7 linked regions of the Macaca fascicularis genome follow. The protein of the gene in region 2 interacts with the protein of the main gene of each other region in a pairwise test. Links are inferred from orthologs where the notes say so. Each region holds a gene or a part of one and is shown on either strand. Other genes may lie near its edges. The genes, in order: CCNL2, RUNDC3A, MAGEB4, RAP2B, AP1M1, EIF3E and SDCBP.

Region 1 (4,502 bases), on a different chromosome or scaffold from region 2:
GGCCAGGGACCAAGTCTCATTCACTGTCCTTTCCGCTGCATGAGTGCAGTGTCTGGCTATGTGCACGGGGCACTCAGTGCCTGTGAGCCTTTGGTAAATGGCTTCTGGACAACAGGGTCAAGGACAGAGCCTTGGGCGGCCACGTTCTGTGCATTCTGCTGTGCTGTGGCAAAGCTGCCTTTTCTGCATTTCATGTCAGTGAAGGAAGACGTGCATGCGCAGAGCCCTGTGGGTTGCTCCCAGCACTCATTCAGTTTGTGCCATAGTCCTGTTCCCAGGCAGCCCCGGGGTCTGCCCCTGATTGGCTGGAGGCACCACCAACCTCCCACTCCTTGGGCAGTCACAGCTCAGGGAATGGGCAAGCAGCACCAATGAAAAACCAGCTGTGTAGAAGAGGAAATTCCTTCTTTACTGGAGAGCTTGCAGTTGTAACAGACAAGACATCCCTCCCTGAGCTGCCAGCCTGGGGAAAGAGGACAGGAGTAAAGCTGTAACCACACCGTGTTGCCCATAGCAGGCGGAGGAGAGTGGGTCTTAGTTGGCACTGTTTGAGCTGCAGTATCAATCATGGCAGAGCTAGTGGACAGCTGGACCTGGGGGTAGCGGTGAGGAGCAATGGTGGCCTCTGGATTTGAGCCCGTTTGAGCTAGGCAGTCACTGGCAGCTCAGTGTGTGAACCTGCAACCACTCAGGCCTCTGCTGCCCTTCCCTCTTCTCACTGCTTCACCCTTCCCTTGCCCCACGCAGGCTTCCCCACTATCCTCACCCGTGGTTCTGCACTAGTCCTGGCAAAGGTTCCGGTAACTGTAGCAACAGATACCTACTGCCCCTCCTGCACAGCTGTGGTCGATCAGCGATGTTAAGACGTTACAAACCCAAGAACCCCTCCCTCACTGTCTCCCTGGCGTTTGTGGGGTAGCTCCTTCACACGTACAGCACCGGACCTCCCTCCCCCGACTCCTTCCGGGGGCCTGAACCTTGAGGTACTTAGGCCTCCCAATGCTGGAGGGGCTCTGTAGAGGCGTCGAGGCCACGTTTCCAGTCCCCCCTCCACCCGTGTCTCCCCAGCGGCTGAGTTTTGAAGGCAAGACTTTGCGGGAGTCTGGCGTTAATACGCATCCCAAAAACCTGGAGTCAACAAGGACTGAAGACACGACGCCGACGGCGGCCGGGTGACTCCGGGCACGCGCGTCTCATCCAGGGCGAGGCCAAGCGGAGCCTCTGACCCTGCCCGCGCCCAGGGAACAGCAGTGGGGGGTCGTCCCGCCCCAGATCCGACCGAGATGGACACCCTTGACCCACAGGCGTTTTGAGACGCGAGCTTCCGCGATCCGAGGTCTCTGTGCGAACGTGGGCATCTTGGAAGAGTCCCAGCCCCGCTCGGGGCGCACAGACAAGCGCTCTCAGCACCGCACCCGCGACCCGCGCCTCCGCTCGGAACAGACACGCTTCCGGGGTCGGCCGGCACCGCAGAGCCTGCTGGGTAACGAGTCCGCCCCACCCGCGCCAGGTTCCGGCGTCGGCGTTTGGCGCGTTGCTGACGGGCAGGTTGCGTAGCCAATTGCCGCTAGGCGGCGTCCCGCTGGTCGCGGGCCGAACCAATGACACGCGACGAGGCGGGGCGGTGGTGGCCGTGGAGCGTCGCGAGGAGCCGCCCTGCGGGAAGAAGCCGAAGGGGAGTCGGCGGCACAAAATGGCGGCGGCGGCGGCGGCTGGGGCTGCAGGGTCGGCCGCTCCCGCGGCAGCAGCGGCCGGCGCCCCGGGCTCTGGGGGCGCGCCCTCGGGGTCGCAGGGGGTGCTGATCGGGGACAGGCTGTACTCCGGGGTGCTCATCACCTTGGAGAACTGCCTCCTGCCTGACGACAAGCTCCGTTTCACGCCGTCCATGTCGAGTGGCCTCGACACCGACACAGAGACCGACCTCCGCGTGGTGGGCTGCGAGCTCATCCAGGCGGCCGGCATCCTGCTCCGCCTGCCGCAGGTGAGGGCGCGGCCGCGAGCCTCGGGCCCAGGTAACCGCTGGGGCGGCAGCCGCCCTTTGTTGGCGGCGAGTCGGGCCCGCGCCGCCCCAGCCCAGACCCCGAGCCCAGCCCCTGCCCCGACCGCAGCCCCTGCCGCGACTCCAGTCCCTAGCCAGCCCGTGCCCCTGACCCAGGGCCTCCCCGCCCGCCAGCGCGCTGGATCCCGCGACGGCGGGACGCGAAGAGCCTTTGTGGACGTGGGAAGCGTTTCAGTGTTTGGTTTTGCGTGGGGAGTCCCCACGTTACTCGATGACTTTTGGCTGCGAAGGCTTTGAATGGTGCGTTTGAAAATACAGAAACTTTCTTCTACTCTAGGTGGCCATGGCTACCGGGCAGGTGTTGTTCCAGCGGTTCTTTTATACCAAGTCCTTCGTGAAGCACTCCATGGAGGTAAGGTTTCCTCTTGCACTTCATTCCTAGCGAAATATGTTACGGGGAAAACGGTTTGTTATTTTGCCCGGGTACTCAGGGGAGCGAGTACCTGCCCCCCAGTCTGAGCTCTGTGCCGGAGGGTTCTGTTTCTTGGTTTCTTTTTTCCCTGGGTGCACCTCCCTTTTGGTCTGAATAGCCTTCAAGCCTTTGGCGGCCGTGAGGACGCCGTGGCTGGGGACAAACATGGGCGTGTTGCAATGCTTTCGCTTCAGCATGTGTCAATGGCCTGTGTCCACCTGGCTTCCAAGATAGAAGAGGCTCCGAGACGCATACGGGACGTCATCAATGTGTTTCACCGCCTTCGACAGCTGAGAGAGAAAAAGTGAGTCGGTCGGAGTTGTTTAGTCTATCATAGGTGTCTGTTTCCTTTTTTTCTGGTGAAGCTGCAGTGACACTTGTATAACAGTACAGGCCTGAGGTTCTAAACATGTGGGATGTTCGTGAGCGCATTCTCAAGTTCCACGAACAGGGCCTGCTCAGAGGCATTGGCAGATGCTGTTCAGTGAGGGCAGGGCCTCCAGTGAGGATAGTGCACTGTGGCGGTTCATGCCGGCGCTAGTGCACAGCCCTGTTGCTGTTTCTTTCCTACAGGTTTCCGAACGCTCTACAGCAGGGAGTCTTAATCTCAGCACTATTGACATTCAGGCTGGATAATCTTTTTTTTCCCCCTGAGATGGTTTCCTGTTGTCCAGGGCAGAGTGTGGTGGCATGATCATGGTTCACTGCAGCCTCAATCTCGTAAGCTCAAGAGTTTCTCCTGCCTCAGCCTCCTGAGTAGCTGGGACTACAGGAGCACGACACCATGCCAGCTAATTTTTATTGTTTATTTGGTAGAGATGTGGTCACGCTGTGTTCCCCAGGCTGGTCTCAAATTCCTGGGCCCCAAGGATTTGCTGGGCTTTGCCTCCCAAAGCGCTGGGATTACAGGTGTCAGCCACCGCATCTGGCTGGGTAATCTTTAGTTGTAGGGGATTCTCCTATGTGTTGCAGGATTCAGCAACATCCCTGGCCTCTACTCACTAGATGACAGAAGTACCCCACCTTAGTTGTGACAGCCAGAAATTCTCTCATACCAGGTGTGGTGGCTCACACCTGTAATCCCAGCACTTGGGATACTGAAGGAGGAGGTTTGCTTGAGGCCAGGAGATTGAGACTACAGTTATCTGTGATGTCACTACTGCACTCCAGCCTGGATGGCAGAGTGAGATCCTGTTTACAAAAAACCCAAAAGTATCTTGATGTTGCTTCACGGCCCTGGAATAGCAAAATTTCTCCAGCAGAGAACCGTTGTCTCTGACCCAGGGTTTATGCACCTGAAGTTAATGGAAGTCCTTTAGAAAACACAGCCTCGGCCGGGTGTGGTGGCTCACGTCTGTATTCCCAGCACTTTGGGAGGCCGAGGCGGGCGGATCAAAAGGTCAGCAGATGGAGACCATCTTGGCTAACATGGTGAAACCCTGTCTCTACTAAAAATACAAAAAAATTAGCCGGGCGTGGCGGCGGGCGCCTGTAGTCCCAGCTACTCGGGAGGCTGAGGCAGGAGAATGGCGTGAACCCGGGAAGCGGAGCTTGCAGTGAGCTGAGGTCCTGTCCCTGCACTCCAGCCTGAGAGACAGAGCGAGACTCCGTCTCAAAAAATAAATAAATAAAATAAAAGTAAAACACAGCCTCTGGCCAGGCGCGTGTGGTGATTCCTGCCTATAATCCCAGCACCTTGGGAGGCCTAGGCAGGTGGATCACCTGAGGTCAGGAGTTCGAGACCATCCTAACCAACATGGTGAAACCCCGTCCCTGTTAAAAACACAAATTGACCAGGCATGATGGCTCACACCTGTAATCCCAGCACTTTGGGAGGCCGAGGCGGGTGGATCACGAGATCAGGAGATCGAGACCATCCTGGCTAACACGGTGAAACCCTGTCTCTACTAAAAATACAAAAAAGCCGGGCGAGGTGGCGGGTGCCTGTGGTCCCAGCTACTCGGGAGGCTGAGGCAGGAGAATGACGTGAACCCGGGAGGCGGAGCTTGCAGCGATCCGAGATGGTGCCAC
Region 2 (3,876 bases):
ATCAGTCAACCTCTTGGACCATCAATTTCTTTATCTGTAAAATGGGGATGAGAGTGATAAGAGGGCCTATCTTTCAGGGCTGAGCATGGATAAGGTAGTGCAGACAAAGTACTGTGCTTGGCACATTATAGAGCTTGATAAATATAAGAAGAAAAGGACACTTCCAAGCAGCTCCCATTATCCCTGGACACCCCGCCCTTGCTCTGCCACCCACAACAGGGAAATCATGGGATGTTAGGAACTGTGTCCTCATCCCTGCCCCACTCCACTGCAGGGATGGCAGGGGGAGATTGCAGGGGTAGTGACTGCAGAGGGAGCCTGAGGCGTAGACAGGATTGGAGAGGGGGCACTGCATGGCTTCAGTCCCTCAGCTCCACAGGTCTCCCTTGGTCCCTTCCTCCTAAGAAGCTAGGCCCCCAAGCCCCTTCCAAGGATCTGCTGCCAATGCCCCCTCCTGCCCAGTGTCTGTGTCAGGCCCATACCCCGCACCTCCCCACCCCACCCCCGCCCAGCTCTGCACTGCCTGGTTCTGGGCAGCTGGTGTGTGGGAGGCCAAGCCGGGAAGGAAAGGGGGAAGGGGGTATCTGTGTGCTGGGAGCCCACCTGGCCACCTGCACATGCCCACACTCCATGTGCACAGTGCCAACTCACATGCCCTGGTACAGGTGACCCCATCCCCAAAAGGGACTGAAGGTTGTTCCAGCAATCACAGAAGACAGCTCAGGGTGGGGCACACACCGGCTTCTAACACCTAGTTGACCCAAGCCTCGCACACACAGACCCTGAAGGGTGGTCTGGGGGAACAGGCTCTGGGACCGCCCCCGGCTTGTGGCACCTCATCTTCCTATTTTTTCAGTCCCTCTCACCCCTTGTTCCCGAAGCTTCCTTTCTCTGGGTGTCACCTCTCCTGTCACCCACTTTGTCAATCAGTCTCCCACCTGTCACCCTCCCTCCCCACCTGCCACCCTCTCACTCCACATGACATGGTACCTCTATGGTCACTGTAGTCTTGCCTGTCTCCCCGCTCCCTCTGCCCCCCACCACATCCATGCCCTTCCTGACCTCTTCTCTGCCAGTTGCTCCCTGTCTCAGCCTGTTTCCTCACCTGACACCCCACTGCCCTGTCTCCCCACCTTGCCACCCAGGTTCTCTGTGAAAACGCTGCTGGAGAAGTACACAGCGGAGCCCATCGATGACTCATCAGAGGAGTTTGTCAATTTTGCAGCCATTTTAGAGCAGATCCTCAGCCACCGCTTCAAAGGTGGGCCCAGGGTCCCTCCTCCAGTGGTCCCTCCCCAACTCCCAGCCTTTAGCTCCCAGCCACCTCATTCTGATATACTCCATGGACTCTGAATCCCCTCATTGACCCTGGCTCCCATCCTGGACCATGCGCAGAAGCTTGTGTACAAATCTGGGAAGTGGGAGACGCCTTTGGCCTACAATCCCCATCAGTGGGCAAGCTATATGCTGGGGTGCCCACTGCATACATGCATGTGTATGCACAGATCTTTGTGGGAGGAGGCTGCTTATACTTATGCATGTGAGTGCTTCACTACATGGACCCTCTCTAAACTCCCTGGTCTTGCTGAGTCCGCTCCCTGCCCTGGCTCAGCCTGTGCCCCAGCAGGTCCAGTGAGCTGGTTCAGCTCAGACGGGCAGCGGGGCTTCTGGGACTATATCCGGCTGGCCTGCAGCAAAGTGCCCAACAACTGTGTGAGCAGCATCGAGAATATGGAGAACATCAGCACAGCCCGGGCCAAGGTGAGGGGCCTGGAGCAAGCAACTGCTCTCTGCTCTGGACACAGGGGGCCTGCCTGTTTCTTGGTCCTCACCCCCTGTCCACAGCCCAGGGGAGAAGGGCCCACACCTGATGCTGGACACATGAGTCTCTCTGGGGCAGCAAGTAAAAGTGAACGTGATTTCCAGGGCCGGGCATGGATCCGGGTGGCACTGATGGAGAAGCGCATGTCAGAATACATCACCACGGCTCTGCGCGACACCCGGACCACCAGGTCAGACTTCCCAGGCAACTCAGACCACAGGCCTCAGGGTGCACCTGCATTGCCCAAACACAGCTGATCCTTAAGTTCCTGCAGCATCCTTCAGTTCCTGGACTACAAGTCCCAGCACCAGCATGCACGGCTGATTTCCCTCTTCCAGCCTGGCCTGCAGTCCCAGGACAAACTCTTTTTTTTTTTTTTTTGAGGAGGAGTTTCACTCTTGTTGCCCAGGCTGGAGTGCAATGGTGCGATCCCAGCTCACTGCAACCTCTGCCTCCCGGGTTCAAGCCATTCTCCTGCCTCAGCCTCCTGAGTAGCTGGGATTACAGGCATACGCCACCACGCCCTGCTAATTTTGTATTTTTAGTTACTCCATGTTGGTCAGGCTGGTCTCCAACTCCCAACCTCAGGTGATCCTCCCACCTCGGCCTCCCGAAGTGCTGGGATTACAGGAATGAGCCACCGCACCCGGCCCCAGGACAAAGTTTTACCACTGCCACCATCACTTGCAAGTCAAATCTAATGCCCATTATTCGACATCATTGCCCAGCACACTCCGCCCTGGCACACCTCTGGATGAGCCTCAGCTATGCACCATCTCATGTGTTGGCTTGCTCCATGACCTACAACACAGCCCTTCTGGCTCTCCAAACTACAGCGGCAGTTCTGTACTTGCTATTCACGGACACAGAGTCCTTATGTGGGGAGTTCAACCCCTGCACTGTGGGTTCACAGGGAGGTTGGGTGCCTGAGTCAAGGGGTTACAAGGAGAAGTGTGCCTATGTGGGCAGGTGCATCTGAAACTGTCTGGGTGTGGCAGGGGGCGTGTACCTCCGCATCCCAATTGGCCACAGCCAGCCTGATGTTTTTGCTGAATTCCATTCCTCAGTCTACACATTTCCAGGTTCAAGTCAACACATTTTTTGCGCACCTACTGTATACCAAGCACTAATGATTAAGACTCGCTTCCTGATATGAAGGATCTGGGTAACCCAGTACTTGATGAGGAAGGGGTAGCTCAGAGGGAGGAGTCGGCTCAGGGAGCACTCATTCTAGGTGATGGGGCCACAGGTGCCAGCCCCAGGCTGAGGGGGGAGAGAGGCTCCAGGCCTGCGTGCATATCAGGAAGGAGAATTGGCCTTCCTTCAGGATGGGGTGGCAGTAAGCCAACAACAGCAGCTCTGGGGAGGGGCTCCAGGGACCTGCTGCACTGTCAGGCCCTCTGCCTCCCCACAGACGGTTCTACGACTCTGGAGCCATCATGCTGCGGGACGAAGCCACCATCCTCACCGGAATGCTGATCGGACTGAGCGCCATCGACTTCAGGTGGGGTCTGCCTGAGGGCAGTGGTGGAGGGGGCTGTTTCCCCGACAAATGTCCTACCCCAACCCCTCACACCCACCCCCAACCCTGTGGCTCCTCTGCCTCAGCTTCTGTCTAAAGGGGGAAGTCCTGGACGGGAAGACACCCGTGGTCATCGATTACACGCCCTACTTAAAGTTTACACAGAGGTGAGCGGCTCCATGACTGCGGCGGGGCGGGAGACGGGGGGGTCCTCAGGACATCCTGGGGACATCCTGGTCCCCCTGCCCTCGGCGGCCAGCGCAGACGCGCGTGGGGAGGGGCGGGACCGGCCGTGCCCACTACTCCCTCTCCCAAGCTACGACTACCTGACCGACGAGGAGGAGCGGCACAGCGCCGAGAGCAGCACGAGCGAGGACAACTCGCCCGAGCACCCGTACCTGCCTCTCGTCACCGACGAAGACAGCTGGTACAGCAAATGGCACAAGATGGAGCAGAAGTTCCGCATCGTCTACGCGCAGAAGGTGCGCGACGATAGCGGGTCTGGGGGGCGGGCGGGCCGGCGCGGGGGATT
Region 3 (4,353 bases), on a different chromosome or scaffold from region 2:
TTTATCTCTCACTCTCCCCAACCCTTGGAAACCACTGAACTTTGTACTGTTTCCATACTTTTGCCTTTTCCAGAATGTCATATAGATGGAATTATGCAATGTATAGACTTTTCAAATTGGCTTCTTTCACTCTGTGATATGTATCTAAGTTTCATCCATGTCTCTTTGTGGCGTGATAGTTCATTCCCTTTTAGTGCTGAATAATACTTTATTCTATTAATTTACCCACTCTCCTTCTGAAGGACATATTGGTTGCTTCCCAATTTGAGCAATTATGAATAAAGCTACTATAAACGTTTGTGTGCAGGGTTTTTTTTTTTTTTTTTTTTTTTTGTGGGCATACTGTTTTCAACTCATTTGGCTAAATAACAAGGAGCACACTTGCTGGATCATATGATAAGAGTATGCATAGCTTTGTAAGAAACTTACAAACTGTCTTCCAAAGTGGCTGTACCATTTTGCATGTCCACCAGCAATGACAGTGTGCTCCTGTTGCTCCACATCCTCATCCGTATTTGGGGTTATCAGTGTTTTTGATTTTGACCATTCTTATAGGTATGTAGTGGTATCACATTATTGTTTTAATTTGCAAGTCTCTAATGACCTGTGATGTTGACCATCATTTCATGTATGTATTGCCTTCCATATATATTATTTGTTGAGGTGCCTGCTTAGATCTTTTGCCCATTTTTCATAGGGTTGGTCAGTTCTTATTGTTCAGTTTTAAGAAATGTTTGTATGTTTTGGTTAACAGTCCCTTATAAGATATGTCTTTTGAAAATAATTTTTTCCCAACCTGGGAGTTATCTTATTCTCTTTGTGGTATCCTTAGCAGAGCAGAAGTTTTAATTTAGCAAAGTCCAGGTAATCAATTTTTTTTTCTTAGATGCCCATCACATTTTATATCAGAACTAGAAAAGGTGAAATTCTTGTTCCGAAGTCGCAGTTATCAGTCAGCAGAAGAGACAGTCCACAACCTTGCATGGAGTCCAGATGAGGATCTTGAGTGCAAATCTGGGACCTAAAGAGAGAGTACTAAATGCTTCTAGGCAGGGGTGGTGGGTTGAGGGGCCCCTGGACTTCGTTCATTTGGGTCCCAGAAAACTAAAGAGTCAATTTCACAACACCAATAGAGAGAGGCTCAGGCCCTGCCAAGAGCTGACATGATAATTTTAAAGGTAATCAGAGTGGATCCTCTCCAAGCTTGAACACAGAGATCCCAACTGCGAGGCTTGTTGTCACCCAGTCAGCCCCAGGCAGGGTTGGCAAGCTGCAGCCTAAGGCACATTGTAACTTCCTCAGCTGAGTTCTCAGGGGACAGAATGACTAAGAACAATAGCCCAGTGAATACTTAGAGCAGTGTTCTCAAGGAATCCTGCAGAGGCGGCTTCTGAAAAGCCAAGGTAGTATCTGCCTGCTGAAGGTGTTCTCAGGATTTCATTCACTCTTCTCCAGGAACCACATCACCTGCCCTTCTGCCTACACTCCTGCCTGCTGTGCCTAACCACAGCCATCATGCCTCGGGGTCAGAAGAGTAAGCTTCGTGCCCGTGAGAAACGCCAGCGGACCCGTGCTCAGACCCAGGATCTCAAGGTTGGTCAGGCTACTGCAGCAGAGAAAGAAGAGTCTCCTTCCTCTTCCTCATCTGTTTTGGGGGATACTCCCTCCAGCTCCCTTGCTTTGGGCATTCCCCAGAAGCCTCAGAGAGAGCCACGCACCACCCCTGCTGCTGCAGCTATGTCAGGCACTGGACCTGATGAAGGTGAAGAGAGCCAAGATGAGGAAAATGCAAGTTCCTCCCAGGCCTCAACATCCACTGAGAGATCACTCAAAGATCCTCTAACCAGGAAGACGAAGATGTTGGTGCAGTTCCTGCTGTACAAGTATAAAATGAAAGAGCCCACTACAAAGGCAGAAATGCTGAAGATCATCAGCAAAAAGTACAAGGAGCACTTCCCTGAGATCTTCAGGAAAGTCTCTCAGCGCACAGAGCTGGTCTTTGGCCTTGCCTTGAAGGAGGTCAACCCCACCACTCACTCCTACATCCTTGTCAGCATGCTAGGCCCCACCAATGATGGAAACCAGAGCAGTGCCTGGAGCCTTCCGAGAAACGGGCTTCTGATGCCTCTACTGAGTGTGATCTTCTTAAACGGCAACTGTGCCGGTGAAGAGGAAATCTGGGAATTCCTGAATATGTTGGGGATCTATGATGGAAAGAGGCACCTTATCTTTGGGGAACCCCGAAAGCTCATCACCCAAGATCTGGTGCAGGAAAAATATCTGGAATACCAACAGGTGCCCAACAGTGATCCCCCACGCTATCAATTCCTGTGGGGTCCAAGAGCTTATGCAGAAACCAGCAAGATGAAAGTCCTGGAGTTTTTGGCCAAGGTGAATGACACCACCCCCAATAACTTCCCACTCCTTTATGAAGAGGCTTTGAGAGATGAAGAAGAGAGAACCGGAGCCCGGCCCAGAGTTGCAGCCAGGCGTGGCACTACGGCCGTGACTAGTACGTATTCCAGGGCCACATCCAGCAGCTCTTCCCACCCCATGTGAGATCTAAGGCAAATTGTTCATTTTGTGGTTGAAAGACCTGTTGCTTTCTCTGTTCCTGTGATGCATGAATAACTTGTTGATTTATCTCTTTGTTGTATTTTCTAGTGATGTTTCTTAAAATAGAAAGTTTATTTAGATTCAGAATATAAGTTTAGAAATGGCATGCATCACACACTTATTGCTGTTTATCAGGTTGGTTTAGTAATAAGAATTTTGTTTTAGAAATACAAATAGAAAATCCTGAAATCATTTTTGTGATACAGAGCAAAATAACATGGCATGGGAGTAAGGTTATCCTTAGAAATTTATAATAACTTCACAGTAAAATAGGTAGAATCTGAAGATAGAAAGAGAAGAAAAGTAAAAGTTGCTTTATTCATGGTTTGTCTTACTCCGTTCAGTCTTTTTTTGTTCATAAATTTAAAAGTTACATACCTGGTTTGCTTAGATTATTCAAGAATGTGGAGGCCTGGGCCAAGGTCAATGACAGTGTCCCCATTGTCTTCCCTCCATTAAGAGAAGACTTGGAGAGATGAGGGAGAGAGAGCCAGAGATAGTGTTGCAACTGGGTCTGGCATGTTTCAGTGTGGTGTCCAGCAGTGTCTCCCACTCCTTGTGAAGTCTGAGGTATATTCTTTACTTTTGATTAACAAAACACTTAACCTTCTAATTAATGGAGGGCCAAAGGGGAGTTGGTGGGAACACTATATATAACATATTTGTATGTAAAATGATTTATCTTTTCTTTTTCCTGCTTTTCAGTGTCCTTTTTTTTAATTGTAGATTTATTTAGTTTCAGAATCTAAGTTTGTGAAAGGCATGAATCACTCATTTATTAAAATATAACAGGTTGAAGAGCGAGAATTTTTGCATTATGTAAAACAATTTAAAAATCTTTTAAGTCTTTTCCTGTGATCTAGAACAAGATAATATGGAATTGGAATATGAAATTTGTGAAAAGGAAATTACCTTGCAATAAAGTTGGTGGGACCATGAAGTAGAGAAAAAAAAAAGTAAAATGTGGTCAATTCTTGCTTTGTTTTGTTCTTTTTAGTTTTTCTTTGTAAAAGTGAAGTGTATGTACCCGGATTGGCTTAGCTTTTTCAGGAATGTGGGGGAAATTAAATAGCAATACATTTGACTTCCTGGTCACTTACACTTTAATCGTCCAAATATTAATTGAGCAGCTGTTCTTTGGAGGGCTCCTGGCTAGTACCGGATAAACTAAAAAACAAACAAACAAACAAACAACAAAAAACCCCCAATCCCTGCCCATAGAATTTTAGAATCCAACAGCAGCTATCATATAATGAAGGTGATGAGATACTCCCTAAGACCTAAAGACAGGTGAAAAGAGGGGATAAGAAAGAAGGTGGGGGTGTTTCCAGCAGTGGAATCTAGTGTAAATGTCCTAAGCAAGGTAATCGAGACTTTGGGAAACCGACCATACTGCAATAGGAGGTAATTTTATGTCCCGGCCTAGTGCCTAGATGGGGTGCACTGAGCAGGGGTCACACACTCAAATGGTGGATCTCAGACTTCAGAGATGGAGACTGGAATGAAAAATTGCCTTTAACAGTTACTTTGAGATTGCGGAAAAACCAGAGGGAATCTTTGCCTAGAAGCAGGGATTGAAAGTGGCCGGTGCTCTTGTCCCAGTGCAAGTGAAGTGAATCCAGTACACAAACTAGGTGTTTTATGCAAGTAGTCCCCAGAGTGTTTCTGAGAAATAAGGGTGATACTCCTTTAAGACTGGAAACTCATAAGCCACTGGGCTAATACTCTGCTATCAGC
Region 4 (4,524 bases), on a different chromosome or scaffold from region 2:
ATAAAAAGCTCACACTGCCTCCTACTGTTAAAAGGAAAAACTTATGAGGTCAAATATGGTCCAAACTGCAGGGTGTAAAGGAGAACAAGGATATTATCTTAGCCTGTTTTCTTTTAAATCTATTTCCAAATCAAAACCTCAAAGGGGTTGAGACAGTGTCCACAACCTACTCAAATGTACTGCAAAAAACATCACTAGGTATAACTTAAGAATTGAAAACCATCTTTCCCAAACATGTTTTCGACTTGATGTGTGATATAAACATGGGGAAAAAAGGAAGAAAAATTTTAAAGCGCCATCCTACTTTGCCAGATGGATGGTTACTTTCCCAGATCTAAGGCAATTTTAATAGATGGGTTCTCTTGTTCCCTACCTACAATGAGGTAAACTGTTCCACATCAGATCAGATTCAAAATACCTGTTCATCTTCTAATCAGATGGTAATGGCCATACCCAGGGCTTCCTCGACCTTGATGGTTTTCTCCAAATTTAAAAAGTTGGGAGTAGTGTCATCCATCTTGTCACTGAGACACTTCTGTCTTTAAAATTTCACAAATAGCTCGGGAGAGTATCATGCACCTACCCCATCCACCTCAGCCATGATACTGTATTAAATCACTGAATATGAAACACAGAAACACAAACAATAGTTTTGGGTTTCTTTAAAAATGACATTTGTATTAAAAGTCTTAAAATGAAGAGACAATGATTAAACGCATGAAATTAAAAATTACAATTAGTTAGAATTGGTACATCGCAACAGTAAAATTTTGCTCTTTGCTTCTGGAGGAACACCCTACAACAGGTAATTTAAAAATTTAAAAATAATATAAAAGGGGAGCTAAATACCTGAAAACTTAAGCAAAATGAAGCAAAAAAAAAAAAAAAAAAGGAAACAAATTCATTGCAAGAGATGGAAATTACATTTTAAAGGCTGAAAATAATAAAGAAATTCACTAAACAACAGGCCCTATTGTCCTGGCTCCTTCTGAAAGATTATTGAAAGGAAACTGGGAAGTGGTTTGGGGAATAGCAGATTCTGGGATATGGTGGGAAGTTCACAGGTTGGCACCGGCTGGAACAGCTGAGTTTTGAAGGCACTCTGCAGACACAGGGGTGCTGGGGGCCCTGAATCACATTTACAAAGTCTTTGTACTGTATTTTAAAAAGCTAGTCATTAAAATCGGTTACTGCCAACCAAAAAACAAAAACAAAAGGCTAAACTTAAAACACACACACACCACACACACACACACACACACCATAGTACACACGAAAATGTGCAGATCTGTAACATTTTTTTCACAGCTGATTAAAAAAAAAAAAAAAAACTACCGTTCTCCCCCAGACTCCCCTTTGATACAGTAGGTAAACAAAATAGATTTTTTTTTTCCACAAATATCAGCAGACACTTTCTGGCACCCCACACTGTATTGGCATCAGTGTTAACAGTCCCAGTTCAGATGTGCAATACTTCAGATTGGATACACTGTAACAAGAATCCAACTTTGCATAGACATCCTCAGAATCGCAATCAGTCATGGGGTTGCCCTTCCAAGCTGGCAGAAAAGGAACCCAATCTTAACTTCCAGCTACTCCTGGAAAACAAGGAAAAAAACAAAAGTTTCTTCTTCTCCTCCTGCTCCTTCATATGGTTCTCCCGGACTTCCTTCCATGTATTTAAAACTTGGAACTAGAAAAACGGTTGTTGACCAAAAAAAAAAAGAAAAACCATTTCCACCTTCTCCCCCTCCTTTTCCTCCACCCCTCCCCCCTCCCATTTTTTTTCCAGGCTGAAACTTTTGCTTGGTGGGTGTCAAGCTGCCGATACTGCGCCCTAACGGCTACTTAAACGGGGAAATATGCATCAACCAAAATCAGGGAGAAACGTACATGCTGCAAAGAACCACATTTCCACCAGAGTATCAGATGGGCAGGACGGGACACCCCCTCGGGTACAGGGTGGAGGCAGGGGACGCCGGCCGCGGAGGCCAGCCGGGCTCCCAAGACACCCTGGCCAATGCAAAGTGGTCTCCAATCTCAAAGCAAGAAAGAAATCACATTTAGAGAGTCGGATGCGTTTGGCTTTTGTGCGCAGAGCGCGGCCGGCGCGCGGCGGCCGCCTCAGAGGATCACGCAGGCCGAGCAGCAGCCCTCATCGCCGTTGGGCTGCGCCGCGTAGTTCATCTGCCGCACGATCTCGGCAAACAGCTCGTCTACCGAGGCTTTGTTTTTGGCCGACGTCTCCATGAAGGGGCAGCTCCACTCCTCAGCCAGGGCCTTGCCCTCGCCGTACGAGACCTCGCGCTCGCCCTCCAGGTCCACCTTGTTGCCCACCAGGATCATGGGCACGCGCTCGTACCGCTTCACGCGGATGATCTGGTCCCGCATGGGCTTGATGTCCTGGAAGCTCTGCTGGTTGACGAGGCTGTAGACCAGGATGAAGCCCTGACCGTTCTTGATATACAGGTCCCGCATGGACGCGAACTGCTCGGTGCCCGCAGTATCCAGGATCTCCAGCACCGACGGCGACGAGTCCACCTCAATCTCCTTGCGGTAGAAGTCTTCGATGGTCGGGTCGTACTTCTCGATGAAGGAGCCCGTCACGAACTGCACGGTGAGCGCGGACTTGCCCACGCCGCCCGAGCCCAGCACCACCACTTTGTACTCTCTCATGGCTCCGTCAGCGCTCTCGCCGCGCCTGCCGCGGCCCCGTCGGGGCTGCGCGCCGGGGAAGGCTGGGCTTGGCGGCTGGACTTCTCTTCCCCTTCCTCAGCTCCTCAGGAAAAACCCAGGAGAGAGTAGCCCAGAGAACGCAGGGCGGAAACCACCGAGCGGGGGCCGGGCGCCGGGCCGGCCCGCGGCGGCGGCGTGTCCCTGGGGCGCGGGTCGGGGCCCCGCAGCAGTCCGCGGCGGCAGCAGCAGCAGCCCGGGCGGCGAACCGGGAGGACAATGCCCGCAGCCTGCGCGAGGCGATGGCTGGAGCTCCTAGCTGCGGCAGCCCGGGAGGGCGGGGAGGCGGTGGCGGCGGGCTGCGGAGGTGGCTGCTAATTGCGCGTCGGGACGGGACGCGCGTGGCATGAGTCCCCGCGGAACGTGCGCCCACCGCCGCGGCCCATCGCGCTCTCTCCCGCAGCCTCTACTGGGCGAGGGCTTCCTACTCGCCGCGCGCAGCCCGGCCCTCCCCTCCCCGGCGAGCATGCCCAGTGCGTTCCGGCCGCGCCTTACCCAAGCGGCCGCTCCTGGTTTTCCGCGGGGCCGGGAGGGGGCGGGGATGTAGGCGGGGCTCCGGATTTGAGTCCAGTTTGGGGAGTGGCGCGAGTTAGGAACTGGCTGGTAGATGGGGTGTGTGTGCGTACACTGGAGCGAGGAAAGCGGTGTAGGGAGTATGCAGGCCGCTTTCTTTTACAGCTGTGGGAGTGGTGGACAAGGGCGGCGGCTCTGCGAGAAGCATGTGGGTGCGGCGGGCCGCCTCAGGATAGAGTAGGCTGTGGTCTTGCCAACTCCCGTTATCAAAGGCCCAAGGACGCCATTCACCCAGCCCCGGGCGGGCGTGTGTCTGGGGCCGGAAACCCGAAGTCATGTGGGTGCCGTGGAATGCACGAGCAGCCGGCGGAGCATCCCGGCCCCATAGATTTTTCTACACCGTTCGCCACAGAAACGCTACTCTGTGCACTGCAGCCTTGCACAAAGAAAACAGGAGGTACTCCAAGCCTGAGATACTGTCCCGACTAGGAAAGGGGTAGCCTCTGGTACCTGCAGCTCTCTCGGGGCAGGGTCCAGCGGGTCGTACCCACCTCCCCGCTCGGGTGCGGTCAAAACCCGGAGACTAGATTACATCCCAATCCAGAAGTCTCCGGGCGCCCGCAGTTAGTTCAGGGCATGCTCAGTCGCAGAGCAGGTTTTTGGGCTTGGAAGTAGGAAGCTTTTGCACCACACACCCACACTCTAGCTCAAATTACCTCTCCCAGACTCCGCACTCATTGGTCTCGGGACGCGAGTCTCACACCCCTAAGTGTTGTTGATTGGCTGCCGACAAGGCTTTATCAGTTTGGTGCGCTTCATTGGCTAAAAAGTAGCCTCCGCTCGCGATTGGTTATTTATAGAGATTGAGAGGAGAGGCGGAGGCACAGCTGTTCTTTCTCCGCTGCTTCCCCACCCCCTGCCTCCCACTTCCCCAACCCAGGCGTTTTGAAGTAAAAGTGAAAAAATAAGAGGCATTTAGGCTGAGAGCTCAGAACTAAATATAGTTCTTTGTTGGTGTTTTCGAGAGAGTCTGACTCCTCGGTTTCCAGTCACGACTGCCCCTCAAAGGGAGCACAAAGGGCTAATTACAGGTTTTGGTCCGCAAGAAACCTCAGAGTTGCCAAGTTTTTTTGCAGGGAGTGGGAGGGGGGCGAGGAGCCGAAATGGGCCACTTGGAATTCGTTTCACCCGGAGGGGTAGGGGAGTGTCCAAGCTTGCCTCAGAGGAAGCGTCTTCGCTGGCTGGCGGACAATCGCTAGACTTAGCTGGGCTGGCGCT
Region 5 (3,876 bases), on a different chromosome or scaffold from region 2:
CTTCTCCGCTTTATCTAGCTGGCTTCTTACACCACTAACCACCACTAACCACCTCCTCTTCAGCGCTCCCTTCCGCTTCCGGGAGGCTGCGCTCGGGGGTTTCCTCCTGTTTCTCGCACCGCCTGCTCTCCTCCCTTTCTGCCCTCCTCAGGGCTGTGGAGTGGCTCAGGCCTACGTGTGCCTCCCCATGCTGTCACTCTTCCCAGGTGGGCTTTGACTCATGTCCATGGGCCGGTGACTCTCGACTTTGTCCACAGCACTTCTCTGGAGATCCACTGGCCTCTGGGACACTAGGGAGGTCCCGCCATCACCACAAATTCAGCATTTCTCTGAATGCATTCCCTGTACCTGCTCTCTCTCCATCTCAGTGATGCCATCACCCATTCAGCCACCTGCACTGGAGACCTGGACATTATCCTCGCTTCCTTTTTCTCCTCACCCCCATATTCACTCCACAAATGTTTACTGAGCACCTACTATGGGCCAGGCCCCGTTCTGGGTGCTGGAACACAGCTGTGAATGAGACAGGAGTCATCGCTGTTCTCAGGGGATGTCAGACAATAGACGAGGATACAGATAAATGTATAACGCAGCAGGTGATAGGGATAAAGCAGGGGTCAGGGTGCAGAGGGATGGGACATGATCTCAGCCAGAGCAAGCAGGAAGGACTTCTTTTTTTTTTTTTTTTTTTTTTTTGAGACAGAGTTATGTTCTATCATGCAGGCTGGAGTGCAATGGCACAACCTCGGCTCACTGCACCCTCTGCCTCCTGGGTTCAAGTGATTCTCCTGCCTTAGCCTCCTAAGTAGCTGGGGTTACAGTCATGCACCGCCATGCCTGGCTAATTTTGTATTTTTAATAGAGATGGAGTTTCACCATATTGGTCAGGCTGGTCTCAAACTCCTGACCTCATGATCCGCCCGCCTCGGCCTCCCAAAGTGCTGGGATTACAGGCGTGAGCCACTGCGCCCAGCTGGGAGGACCCTTAGAGGAGGTATCATTTGAGCTGAGCCTTGGGAAGTGAGAAGAGCCAGATCAGGGCAAAGGCCCAAGGTGGGAACAGATGTGGATCACTCAGAGACCAGCTAAGGGGCCCGGCTGGAGGGGAATGGACCAGGGCAGCGCAGGCAGAGAGGCGTCAGAGACTGTGAGGAGCCAGACCACGCCGGTCCTTGGGAGCCACGGGGACGGACTTGGGCTTTGTTCTCAGTGCCGGGGAGGCTGGGGTAGGTGGCAGTTCAACAGTGGGAGAGAGACCCCATCTGGCCTCTGTGTGGGAAGAGCCCTGCCACCCTTTGTGAGGAAGGACCTGGGGGGGTCAAGAGTGACAGCAGGGGAAGGGGCTGGTCCCTCAACACGTCATCACCTGCCTCCCTCCAATCAGTCCCACAGGCCACGAATGAGACACTAGGAAAGGAAGGTGCCACCCTCCACCACCCCCAGTCTCTCCTTAAGAGAATAAAGTCAGCGTGTAATGAAATGCCAAGTTCTGAGGCAGTTGGTTCCCAGGATGGTCAGCACCGCAATGGCCTTCTCAGCGCGTTGCCGAGTCCTGCAGCTGGCTGTCCTGCAGGCCCCAAGAGCTGCAGCTGCTCCAAGCAGCATCTCCAACCGCAGCCGTGCCCAGGCTAGCAAAACTTCCGACCTCCTTTTTTTCTTTAATGAGATGTAATTTGCACTAATAGCCTGCACTTATCTAAAGTGTGCAATTTGATGAGCTCAGTCATGTGGGAAGCCATAACCACACATTCCATCGCCCCCGAAAGCTTCCTCACGCCCTTTTGCTGTCCAGCCCCATCCCTACGCAGCCACCGATGTGTTTTTCATCACCATTTTCTGGGCTTTTATACACGTGCGGTCATACAGGATGAGCGCTCGTCTGTCTGGTTTCTCTCAGCCAGCACAGTGATTCTGATGCGCCCGCGTATCGGGAGTCCGAGCCCTTTCGTTGCCGAGGCGTGCTTCTCATGGTGTGCACGGACAGTTTGTTTCTAGTTCACCTGCTGAAGGACATTGGCATTGTTTCTAGTCTGGGTCTGTTTCAGTTAAAGCTGCTGTTAACATTCTTGTGCTAGTCTTTGTGCAGACATGTGGTTTCATTTCTCTTGGGTAAATACCAGAGAGAGGAATGACTGGATCGGATAGTAACACTGGGTTTCACTTTTTGAGAAACTACCAGACTGCACCAAAGTAGCTGTCCCATTTTCCTTTCCTCTCAGCAGTGGACAGGGTTTCTGGGTGCTGTATATCCCGACCCACAGGCTATGAAAGAGAGAGACCAGCAAGAGGGCTTCTCCTCTTCAGGCCACCGGTGGACTTCAGTCAATACGAATCTTCAGCGGGAGTGGGCGCCCTGACACAGGCGGGAGAGCAGGGTGCGTTGGCCCGGCAAAGGCTCTGAGAAGGTCTGCGTTGAGAGCTTGTGAGGCATTACTTAACCTGATGTCTCTGAATGATTCGGTCCTGGACCTTTGCCGCAGAGTTCCCCTCTACCCTCACCCTGCAAAGAACTGCAGTGGCCCCTGTGGACGTTCACACTGGGAGATGCTCTTCTCCAGGAATTCCCTGGGGGATGGAGATCAGCACGGCCTCGAGTCCTGCTCTTTTGCGGATAGGGGCCATGACCGGAGTCCCCAGAGGGAAGCAGGCTGGTGCATCTCACCCCCTGCCCCAAGCCCCTGGATTGTAGAATTGAAAATGCAAGCATCATTCCTCTTCCTTCCCCACCCCAGGTGCTCATCTGCCGGAACTACCGTGGCGACGTGGACATGTCGGAGGTGGAGCACTTCATGCCCATCCTGATGGAGAAGGAGGAGGAGGGGATGCTGTCGCCCATCCTGGCCCACGGAGGGGTCCGTTTCATGTGGATCAAACACAACAACCTGTATCGTATCCCTTTACTGGGGCGGCTCCCAGGAGACTCCTGTGTGGGTGTTGGTGTGTGTGCACGTCCACACGCCTTCAGCCGGGACTGGTTTGTGCACAGCGGGAGCATTGGATACAGCCAAGCCCTCCCGGAGCTCCCTGCTGCCTGCAGAGACAGGCAGAGAATGCACGATGACACGCGTGATGGGTGCGGGGAGAGGAGCAGGTGTGACTTGAACTTCTTTGGCCCAGGGGCCCAGGAAGGGAAGTGACACCCTGGAGGAAGCCTGCAGGGAGGCCTGGCGTCTGCCAGCTGGAGGGGCAGGCAGGCACTAGGCGTGGGTGAAGGCTCTGCAAGGGAAAGGCTCATTCCAGCAGCTGCAATCGGGGTGGCTGGAGCCCTCGAGAGGGGGCGTGTGGCAGCAGTGAGGCCGGAGTGGTCAGCGGGGTCTGGGGTCTCAAAGAACATCATCTGAAATGTGACAGAAAGTCTTTGGAGGCTTTTAGATGTGCATCTTCTGGAGGTTTCTGGCTGCTGAGTGGGGCAAGACTGTGGGGACAGGAGAGGACATGGGTAGGTGAGGAGTAGGCTGGGGCCATCGTGCAGGTGGGAGGGGAAGTGGCCTGGACCACGGAGGGGTGGTAGGGTACAGAGAAGGGGAGAGACTTCTCACAGCCCCACCCAGATCTCAGAGTCCCCCACCCTTCCTGTCCTTGGGCCCATGGGGAGACTTGGCCAAGCCAGTTTCTATCCAGGAGGTCTAACTGGCCACCCCACGGCTTTGGGCAGACCTGCAGGCCCATCTCAGTACCCACACTACTGCGGAAGGGCCTGCTTTGCAGCCACAGCCTGGTTTGAGCCCCAGCTCCAGCAGCCATGGGGCTGGAGGCGAATCCCTCACCTTCCCACAGTTTGGTGGGAACAACGACCCCTCGCTGCAGGACCATTCGGGTCAGTTGAGCTGACTTGTGCACATTGCTCCCAGCAGACATGGGCTCTCTGCCCTTTCC
Region 6 (3,876 bases), on a different chromosome or scaffold from region 2:
GGTTTGAGAGGTTATAGAGCTGGATTTATAGTTAAAAGAGATTATTTAATGGATTTAAATTCCATTCAACCTAGTGGATAGCCTGTAATAGTAATATGTAAGCCCCTCTGAGTTTTTGTTAAAAAACTCCTGGATAATATTCACCTAAGAAAATTAAATGGGAACAAATATAAAAACCCTTGGAATGAAGTTTCTGCAATGGAGAATTAAATGATAGATAATTGGGTCCTACCCTTTTTTTCTTTCACCTCTGTCACCCCAAGGCTGTATATTCTCCAGTTTCCCTTAAGAGTAGAAAGAGGATTCCCTTTTCCTTTTTGTGGTTTTGTATTACTAGAAAAAAGAAATTAGGGATTGGGGGACACTTCTGAGTGAGTAGCCCCTGGCATATGAATATATTGGGGATGAGTAAATGTATGTATGGTTTAAATACTCTGAACAATTTCCAGACATTCTCATGATGAGTAGCACACTTTAACATGCCCATTGTAGTACTCTTTTGCATTTTTAATTAGCTTTGAGAGAGAAAAGAACCACAGTGGTTGCACAACTGAAACAGCTTCAGGCAGAAACAGAACCAATTGTGAAGATGTTTGAAGATCCAGAAACTACGAGGCAAATGCAGTCAACCAGGTAAACTCTTCTTAATTTTGAATTCGAAAAATTCTCGTTTCTGGATTAATACAAATGTTAATTCAAATTTTATCCAGTATCCCACAGTAAAAGTTCATAGGTTTAAATGAGTGCTTTATTCATTTTTAAATGTTCATTTATCCTTATTTTGTAGGGGCCAGTATAATTAATAAATATTAATATTAATACTGTTTTTTTTTTTTAAAAAAACTTCTTTAGTACTTATCTGTACTGATTATGCTACAGAATTTCCATCTCCTATTTCCCTCTTCCTGGGGACATTTGGCAATGTCTGGAGATACTTTCGGCTGTCATAACTGGGGGGTGCTATTGGCACCTAGTGAGTAGAGACCAGTTATGCTGTTAAGCATCCTACAGTGCACAGGACAGCACCCCTCCCGCTACTCCCCAACAAAGAATTACCTAACTCAAAATGTCCATTAAGAAACGCTGTGCCACTGTGTGGTGGCTCACGCCTGTAATCTCAGCACTTGGGGAGGCAGAGGCAAGCGAATCGCTTGAGCCTAGGAGTTCGAGACCAGCCTGGGCAACATGGCGAAACCCTCTATCTACCAAAAAAATAAAAGCAACAAAAAATTAGCCAGACGTGATGGCGTACGCTTGTAGTCTCAGCTACTTGCTACTTGGGAGGCTGAGGTCAGAGGATGGCTTGAGCCCAGGAGGTGGAGGTTGCAATGAGTCAGTGTCATATCACTGCATTCCAAAGTAGGTGATGTAGTGAGATACCATCTCAGGAAAAAATAAAAAAGAAACCCTGTGCCTGTGCAATACCTAGCGCTTTAGAGCACAACTCGTTATAAGAGAAACCTGAGTTCACTTTATTCCTGGCTACATTCTTTCCTACCCTTCTAAGCTCCATGCCTCGCCCAAGGAGGGTAGTTTTGAGCTGATAAGATTATTTTATTCCTAACTTCCCTTTACCTGGAAGTAGATTTACTGTTTCGTAAGCATGTTGCCTTACTCTGACTTAGTACATGTCACGGGTAGAAGTCCTTTGGGTTATTAGAAACATTTAAAAATAAAATCTCTTACTAAAATTGAATATTATCATTTGAGATAAATCCTAGCTACCATTGAATTCACTTGAGGAATTGCTGGATATTTTGCCATGTTATACCTTTAATTTCTATGTGTTTAAACCAAATTTTTAGAGATTGGCTCTTAAGTTTTCCTTTGTGATTTGTGAAGATGTTACCAGATATTTTTAGAAAAGCAACAAATACACAATTACTGTGCCATACTATAGCATACTATACTATACTATGACATATACTACATATAAATACAGTCAACTCTCTGTTCTGCATCTGTGGATTCAACTAACTGCAGATTGAAAATATTCAGGAGAAGAACCTAAAAAATAACAATACTGCAATAAAAAATACAAATAAAACTACAGTATAACAACAACTATATGATATTTACGTTGCGTTAGGTATAAGTAATCTAGAAATGATTTAAAGTATATGGGAGGATGTGTATAGTTTACATGCAGGTACTGTGCTATTTTACATAAGGGACTTAAGCACCTGCAGATTTTGGTATTTGAGGGGGCTGGTGAGTAGAGGGTAGGCGAGGTCTTGGAACTAATGCTCTGGGGATACCAAGGGATGACTATATGCAGGAAAACACGCACACAGAGAGATATATATATACACACACATTACATGCATAGGCAGAACTATCTATTATACTAAACTACTTGTATGCTTTTAGAATAAGTAGTTTTAGATCTTCAGGTCACATGTAGGTGATTACAAAGGGACACCTGAAATAATCCAGTTGTTAGACTACAACAGAAAATTTAGGATGTTGTAGTTCAGTCACTCAAAGACTGGGGAGTTATGGGATCAAAGTATGAATAAGATGAATGTAGATATGTTCACCAGTTAGAAAAAGAGGATCCTTATAGCTTAATAGGTACTGAATTTGAGATAAATGAAAGGATCATGTGTTAAAAACTTGTAATCTTATTATACTTACAAACTACCTATTTTCAATGTGAAAACCTTTTTCTTGCAATTCCCCCTTTTTAAATTTCATTGAACATATAGTATCATACTTAACACTTTCCCGGAAATAATCAGCCAGAGGACAGTGATTATATACGTGAGTGGTGTAAGTAGTGCAATACAAAGTTATTCACTGTGATCCACTGCAAGTGTTCAGTTTTGGTGGAAGTTCTGTGTTGGAATTTCATGTACATTTCATACTCAGTATTATAATACACCTATATTTTTATGGGGACATATCTCACCCCATTAAATCTTCAAGCAAAATTGTGCTCTCTAAGATACATTGTAGCGTATTTCTTCTGTGAGAAGGATAAGAAAATGTTTTCATTTTGGAACATGCAGTCAGGTGCAGTGGCTCACACCTGTAATCCCAGCACTTTGGGAGGCCAAGGTGGGCAGATCCCTTGAGGTCAGGAGTTTGAGACCAGCCTGGCCAGCATGGTGAAACTTCATCTCGGTGGCTCACGCCTGTAATCCCAGCGCTTTGGGAGGCCGAGGCGGGCGGATCACAAGGTCAGGAGATCGAGACCACGGTGAAACCCCGTCTCTACTAAAAATACAAAAAATTAGCCGGGCGCGGTTGTGGGCGCCTGTAGTCCCAGCTACTCGGGAGGCTGAGGCAGGAGAATGGCGTGAACCCGGGAGGCGGAGCTTGCAGTGAGCTGAGATCGCGCCACTGCACTCCAGCCTGGGCAACAGAGCGAGACTCCATCTCAAAAAAAAAAAAAAAAAAAAAATACAAAAATTAGCTGGGCATGGTGGTGCATGCTTGTAATCTCAGCTACTTGGGAGGCTGAGGCAGGAGGATTGCATGAACCCGGGAGGCAGAGGTGGCAGTGAGCCGAGATCGTGCCAGTGAACTCCACCCTGGGCGACAGAGTGAGACTCCGTCTCAAAAAACAGTAACAACGAAAATGCTCATAAGGTGGGCAGCTACCCTTATATCCCCTGTCCCTTGATGTCTTTATTATCAGTTTGTCTTTTACCAGTCTGTCAGCATCTCAAGATAACACAAAGCTAATTTAAGAAAAATTAAATATGGCACTTGGTTATACCTAATGATTATGTAGGGTATGTAGCATAGCTGTCATGTACATGAGACATGATTTTTTTATTTTTATTAATTTTTTTGAGACAGTCTCACTCTGTCACCCAGGCTGGAGTGCGGTGGCACCATCTGTGTTCACTGCAACCTCCAGCTCTCAGG
Region 7 (3,876 bases), on a different chromosome or scaffold from region 2:
TAATTACCTCTCACCTTAATATACTGAATATATGAAACAGGGTTACTCTCTGAGGAACCATTTAGAATTGTTAAGGACGTGCTGAGTCTTTACCCCAATTTACAGTTTCAGCCATTACCTTATTGGATTCAGTTTCAGTCATACATCTGTAGCTTAGTGCATCCAGCCTTTCAACACAGAAAATGGTAAGTGTGGTGCACTGCTGTAAATGGAGGAGGCTGATCTTGGCAGGAAGCCCCAACCCTGCCTGCCCACCCAGGGGGCTGAGGCCATCGATGATGGCCTTGCTCACTTGTATCTTATTCAAAATACATCTGTGTGCTTGGTTGGGATGCTCTGACTTTGCTGCCCTTTCTCCAAAATCTTCAGGGAATAGAGGATACTGCTGCCCCTTCCGCCAGGATTCCTCTTGTGTTCTTTCCTCTGTCCTAAAGAGAAAAGATACTTTTCATAGGCCCCTTGGCCCCACTGTAGGAAATACTTGCAGTGGATTTGTTCACTTGGCCAAAGGGCATTTTTTTCTTATATGGGGTGCTACCTAGTTCTTGCTTATCACTCTACAATGTAACAGATGCGTGATAGAAATATGTGACCTAGCTTAGGATTGAGGTAGATGCACTTACATTTTATTTACCAGGCTTATTCTTCTTTTATACTTATCTATTTATATTTTGTTCAACTTCTGATTGAGATTTTACGTAAGTAAAAATATCCATGTAAGTAGTTATTTGTTAACAGTACTTGAGTTTTCTGTATTTATTTGTGTGTTCTTTATAAGCCTGTACATGTGGATTTAATATGCCCATCTTTTTAGTCTGACAAACTTTAATCTTACTTGATTATACACAATTTAGCCAATGGGTAAAGGAATGTTTCAGCTCAAAAGGTAGAATTATGACCTTAAACTGTCATTTATTAAGCTGTAAAAGAACTCACCAAACTTTTTAATATGTGACTTGCTTTTCCCCTAAATATGATTATGGACTGATAATCTGGTATTCTATCAGACTCATTAGACACTTGCATTTATTAAAGTTGTCCCACTCTATTTTCCTTAGTTTTGTATTCCAAGTTGAAAGGGGGGATTGTGGTTGGTCAGGTGGGTTATGATTTGGTATAAAAATTGCCATTGAAATCTCACTTTTTTGCCGTATTCTTTGGAGTTACTGTCTTGATAAATTTTTCAGTTTCTTTTGAGGTGATAACTGGATAGACTCCTATAGTTTTTCCTTTTTTTTTTTTTTTTAATCACTAAGGTAGAGTTTTTAACAAACAGTTGTTTCCTAATTTTCCAGCATTTTAAACCGTATCATAGTAGTGGTAAATGACGAAAATTATTTTCTTATTATCTAGGGTATATTTGTTCAGCTAGTCCAGGCTAATTCTCCAGCCTCATTGGTTGGTCTGAGATTTGGGGACCAAGTACTCCAGATCAATGGTGAAAACTGTGCAGGGTGGAGCTCAGATAAAGCGCACAAGGTGCTCAAACAGGCTTTTGGAGAGAAGATTACCATGACCATTCGTGACAGGTAAGCTGTTACTAAACAGCTCAAATGAAAATTCAATACTAGTTTTCCATTTTTTTGGGCTTTCAGAGTCTGTGAATGTATTATTTTGTTGCAGAAAATGATAAAATGTTATTGATGAGCCTTACAGTCTTGCAGCTGTGTGGTGCAGACTGTTTGTTTGTTTGTTTTTAAAGCATGTTTTTAAAGCATTCTGATATGATACCTTATTTCAGAATTTATAGGACAAATCTCTCTAGAAAATAGAAAATGTATGTTGGAGAAGTAACTGAGTAGCAGGGTATCTCTGAGCTCACTTTCCGACTTACTGCTTAGATACATCTGGCCTAGTTTTATCAGGACTCTCAAATTGTAGACATACTATCACAGTGGTGCCTCATTGTGAGGGTCACAGCCCATGCAGACTTCCAAGTAGTGTGGGAGTTCTGAAAACCGTATCAAGACTTTTGGGTAGTTATGAAGCAGTAGTTTCCAAGAACATGGAATATTCTGTTTAGCAGCTCATTCACTTAGACCTTAAACATTTAGCACATGAAACAGGGGCCTCCATTTATTTTCTTGTCTACTCCTTACCCAATTAAGGGTAGACCTATATCACATTGCTATAGTAAGCTTTTGAGTTTTTGTTCCTTCTCAGTGAAACTTCTGTTTTATCTTTGTGTTTCCAGTTGCTCATTCAGTTTAGGTATTTAGTAAATGTTTCAGATGAATGTCCTTTTTACTGTAAGCAGAGTTTCAAAGAGTAAGTTGTACTAACAGGAAGAAATGCCTCTTCTGAATTTAATATTGTAAACACAAGTTTATCATAAAACCCTTATGATAACATGATAACAGAGTTTATAGAGAATCAAGCAAACGTAACTGGTGTAACAACTTTAGAGGGACAGCTGGATGCCTTTTAATAATAGCTGCATGCCTTCCTTTCCAAAGGGGCTTGAGGAACTTAACGTCTTACTGCTGCTCTAGTTTTTCTTTTCAAATATAGCAGTGTATAAAATTTTCAAAGTCAAGTTGTGAGAAATATTTTAGAGGTTTTAAACAAAAGAAATAGTTCCTAAATATGATTTGGCTGTAGAAAATACCAAAAGTTAATAAAAAATAAAAATTATTTTTACCACTGTGATTTAGTTAAAAAGCTTATCTTATTCTTAATGCTGTAAAGTCTGATTAATTATAAAGGAAAAACATTGATAAAACCATATAAAGCAGTTGTCTTTGATACTTAAAGAAGGAAATGTTGATTAGTAAATCAGTCAAACCATAATGAATAAACTTAAAAAAAACTTTTACACAAAGATGTTCTGTGAATGTATAAAATCAGAGCTGTAAGTTGCTCTTATTAGAAACAGTGTTTATTATAAAAGTGTCCAATATGGCAACATTTATGGTATATGAAATCCATTAAAATGTTTACCTTAGAATTAAGTTTTTAATATAACCCATTATGTTTGTAGGCCCTTTGAACGGACGATTACCATGCATAAGGATAGCACTGGACATGTTGGTTTTATCTTTAAAAATGGAAAAATAACATCCATAGTGAAAGATAGCTCTGCAGCCAGAAATGGTCTTCTCACAGAACATAACATCTGTGAAATCAATGGACAGAATGTCATTGGATTGAAGGTAAGGAACAGACTTTGTGCCATGTTCTGCTGCAGTTTTTGAAAATGTCTGTCTTTTGACTGTATTTAGGTGGTGCTGTTTTCAGTGACTTAGGTGGGAGATGGGGAACGTGGGGCCTGGGTTCTTGCTCTAGCCAGTCACGGGAATTATTTGGGCTGTTATCTAGAACTACAGTTCCTATAACAAGGGGGGTGGAATCAATGATTTCAGAAGTACCTCACACTAGAATTCTGTGGAAATATGGGCAACAAAGATTTTTATGACATTCTAAATGAATAGTTGCCCAACATTTCTCAATCCAGGAATACAAGGAAATGAATAATAGTTTTGGTTCATATTAATACTTTATTTTTATAGTTTTTCTCCTCCACAAATTCCTAAATAAGTCTGTCTTAAGGTCAAAAAGTTTTAAGCATGACCTCCTCATTTCGTAGACTTTGATTTAGAATACACAGTTAACTAAGAGGAGATGGTAGTATTGTATATGGGGAAAATTATTTAATATTCAGAAAGGAAAAGGGTTTTTTTTTTTTGACTAAAATATTCAACTCAGTTTACTTAAGCAAACTGGTTACTAGCTGTAAAATAGTGTACAATTAAACTTGGTAAGAAATACTAGAAAAAAATGCCGGGCGCAGTGGCTCACGCCTGTAATCCCAGCACTTTGGGAGGCCGAGGCGGGCGGATCACAAGGTCAGGAGATCGAGACCACGGTGAAACCCCG

Evidence for each region.
Region 1: the proteins of RUNDC3A (region 2) and CCNL2 interact in binary tests that used the Homo sapiens proteins (3 or more experiments, as listed by UniProt). The two-hybrid records come from large-scale screens. The link is inferred for Macaca fascicularis from reciprocal best matches to the Homo sapiens genes RUNDC3A and CCNL2.
Region 3: the proteins of RUNDC3A (region 2) and MAGEB4 interact in binary tests that used the Homo sapiens proteins (3 or more experiments, as listed by UniProt). The two-hybrid records come from large-scale screens. The link is inferred for Macaca fascicularis from reciprocal best matches to the Homo sapiens genes RUNDC3A and MAGEB4.
Region 4: the proteins of RUNDC3A (region 2) and RAP2B interact in binary tests that used the Homo sapiens proteins (3 or more experiments, as listed by UniProt). The two-hybrid records come from large-scale screens. The link is inferred for Macaca fascicularis from reciprocal best matches to the Homo sapiens genes RUNDC3A and RAP2B.
Region 5: the proteins of RUNDC3A (region 2) and AP1M1 interact in binary tests that used the Homo sapiens proteins (3 or more experiments, as listed by UniProt). The two-hybrid records come from large-scale screens. The link is inferred for Macaca fascicularis from reciprocal best matches to the Homo sapiens genes RUNDC3A and AP1M1.
Region 6: the proteins of RUNDC3A (region 2) and EIF3E interact in binary tests that used the Homo sapiens proteins (3 or more experiments, as listed by UniProt). The two-hybrid records come from large-scale screens. The link is inferred for Macaca fascicularis from reciprocal best matches to the Homo sapiens genes RUNDC3A and EIF3E.
Region 7: the proteins of RUNDC3A (region 2) and SDCBP interact in binary tests that used the Homo sapiens proteins (3 or more experiments, as listed by UniProt). The two-hybrid records come from large-scale screens. The link is inferred for Macaca fascicularis from reciprocal best matches to the Homo sapiens genes RUNDC3A and SDCBP.

What each region holds. Positions count from the first base shown.
Region 1 is NC_088375.1:233,376,040-233,380,541, forward strand, and holds the start of CCNL2 (cyclin-L2), read left to right. Parts: upstream 1-1,671; 5' UTR 1,672-1,693; coding exon 1,694-1,981; intron 1,982-2,336; coding exon 2,337-2,411; intron 2,412-2,665; coding exon 2,666-2,775; intron 2,776-4,502. UniProt on the Homo sapiens protein: Involved in pre-mRNA splicing. May induce cell death, possibly by acting on the transcription and RNA processing of apoptosis-related factors.
Region 2 is NC_088390.1:65,368,799-65,372,674, forward strand, and holds part of RUNDC3A (RUN domain-containing protein 3A), read left to right. Parts: intron 1-1,145; coding exon 1,146-1,261; intron 1,262-1,612; coding exon 1,613-1,761; intron 1,762-1,926; coding exon 1,927-2,012; intron 2,013-3,236; coding exon 3,237-3,326; intron 3,327-3,430; coding exon 3,431-3,511; intron 3,512-3,660; coding exon 3,661-3,826; intron 3,827-3,876. UniProt on the Homo sapiens protein: May act as an effector of RAP2A in neuronal cells.
Region 3 is NC_088395.1:30,249,540-30,253,892, forward strand, and holds MAGEB4 (melanoma-associated antigen B4), read left to right. Parts: upstream 1-1,285; 5' UTR 1,286-1,515; coding exon 1,516-2,559; 3' UTR 2,560-3,594; downstream 3,595-4,353.
Region 4 is NC_088376.1:56,125,715-56,130,238, reverse strand, and holds RAP2B (ras-related protein Rap-2b), read right to left. Parts: upstream 3,145-4,524; 5' UTR 2,677-3,144; coding exon 2,125-2,676; 3' UTR 651-2,124; downstream 1-650. UniProt on the Homo sapiens protein: Small GTP-binding protein which cycles between a GDP-bound inactive and a GTP-bound active form. Involved in EGFR and CHRM3 signaling pathways through stimulation of PLCE1.
Region 5 is NC_088393.1:16,523,182-16,527,057, forward strand, and holds part of AP1M1 (AP-1 complex subunit mu-1), read left to right. Parts: intron 1-2,732; coding exon 2,733-2,889; intron 2,890-3,876. UniProt on the Homo sapiens protein: Subunit of clathrin-associated adaptor protein complex 1 that plays a role in protein sorting in the trans-Golgi network (TGN) and endosomes.
Region 6 is NC_088382.1:117,762,654-117,766,529, reverse strand, and holds part of EIF3E (eukaryotic translation initiation factor 3 subunit E), read left to right. Parts: intron 1-515; coding exon 516-633; intron 634-3,876. UniProt on the Homo sapiens protein: Component of the eukaryotic translation initiation factor 3 (eIF-3) complex, which is required for several steps in the initiation of protein synthesis.
Region 7 is NC_088382.1:68,556,595-68,560,470, forward strand, and holds part of SDCBP (syntenin-1), read left to right. Parts: intron 1-1,353; coding exon 1,354-1,529; intron 1,530-2,980; coding exon 2,981-3,152; intron 3,153-3,876. UniProt on the Homo sapiens protein: Multifunctional adapter protein involved in diverse array of functions including trafficking of transmembrane proteins, neuro and immunomodulation, exosome biogenesis, and tumorigenesis.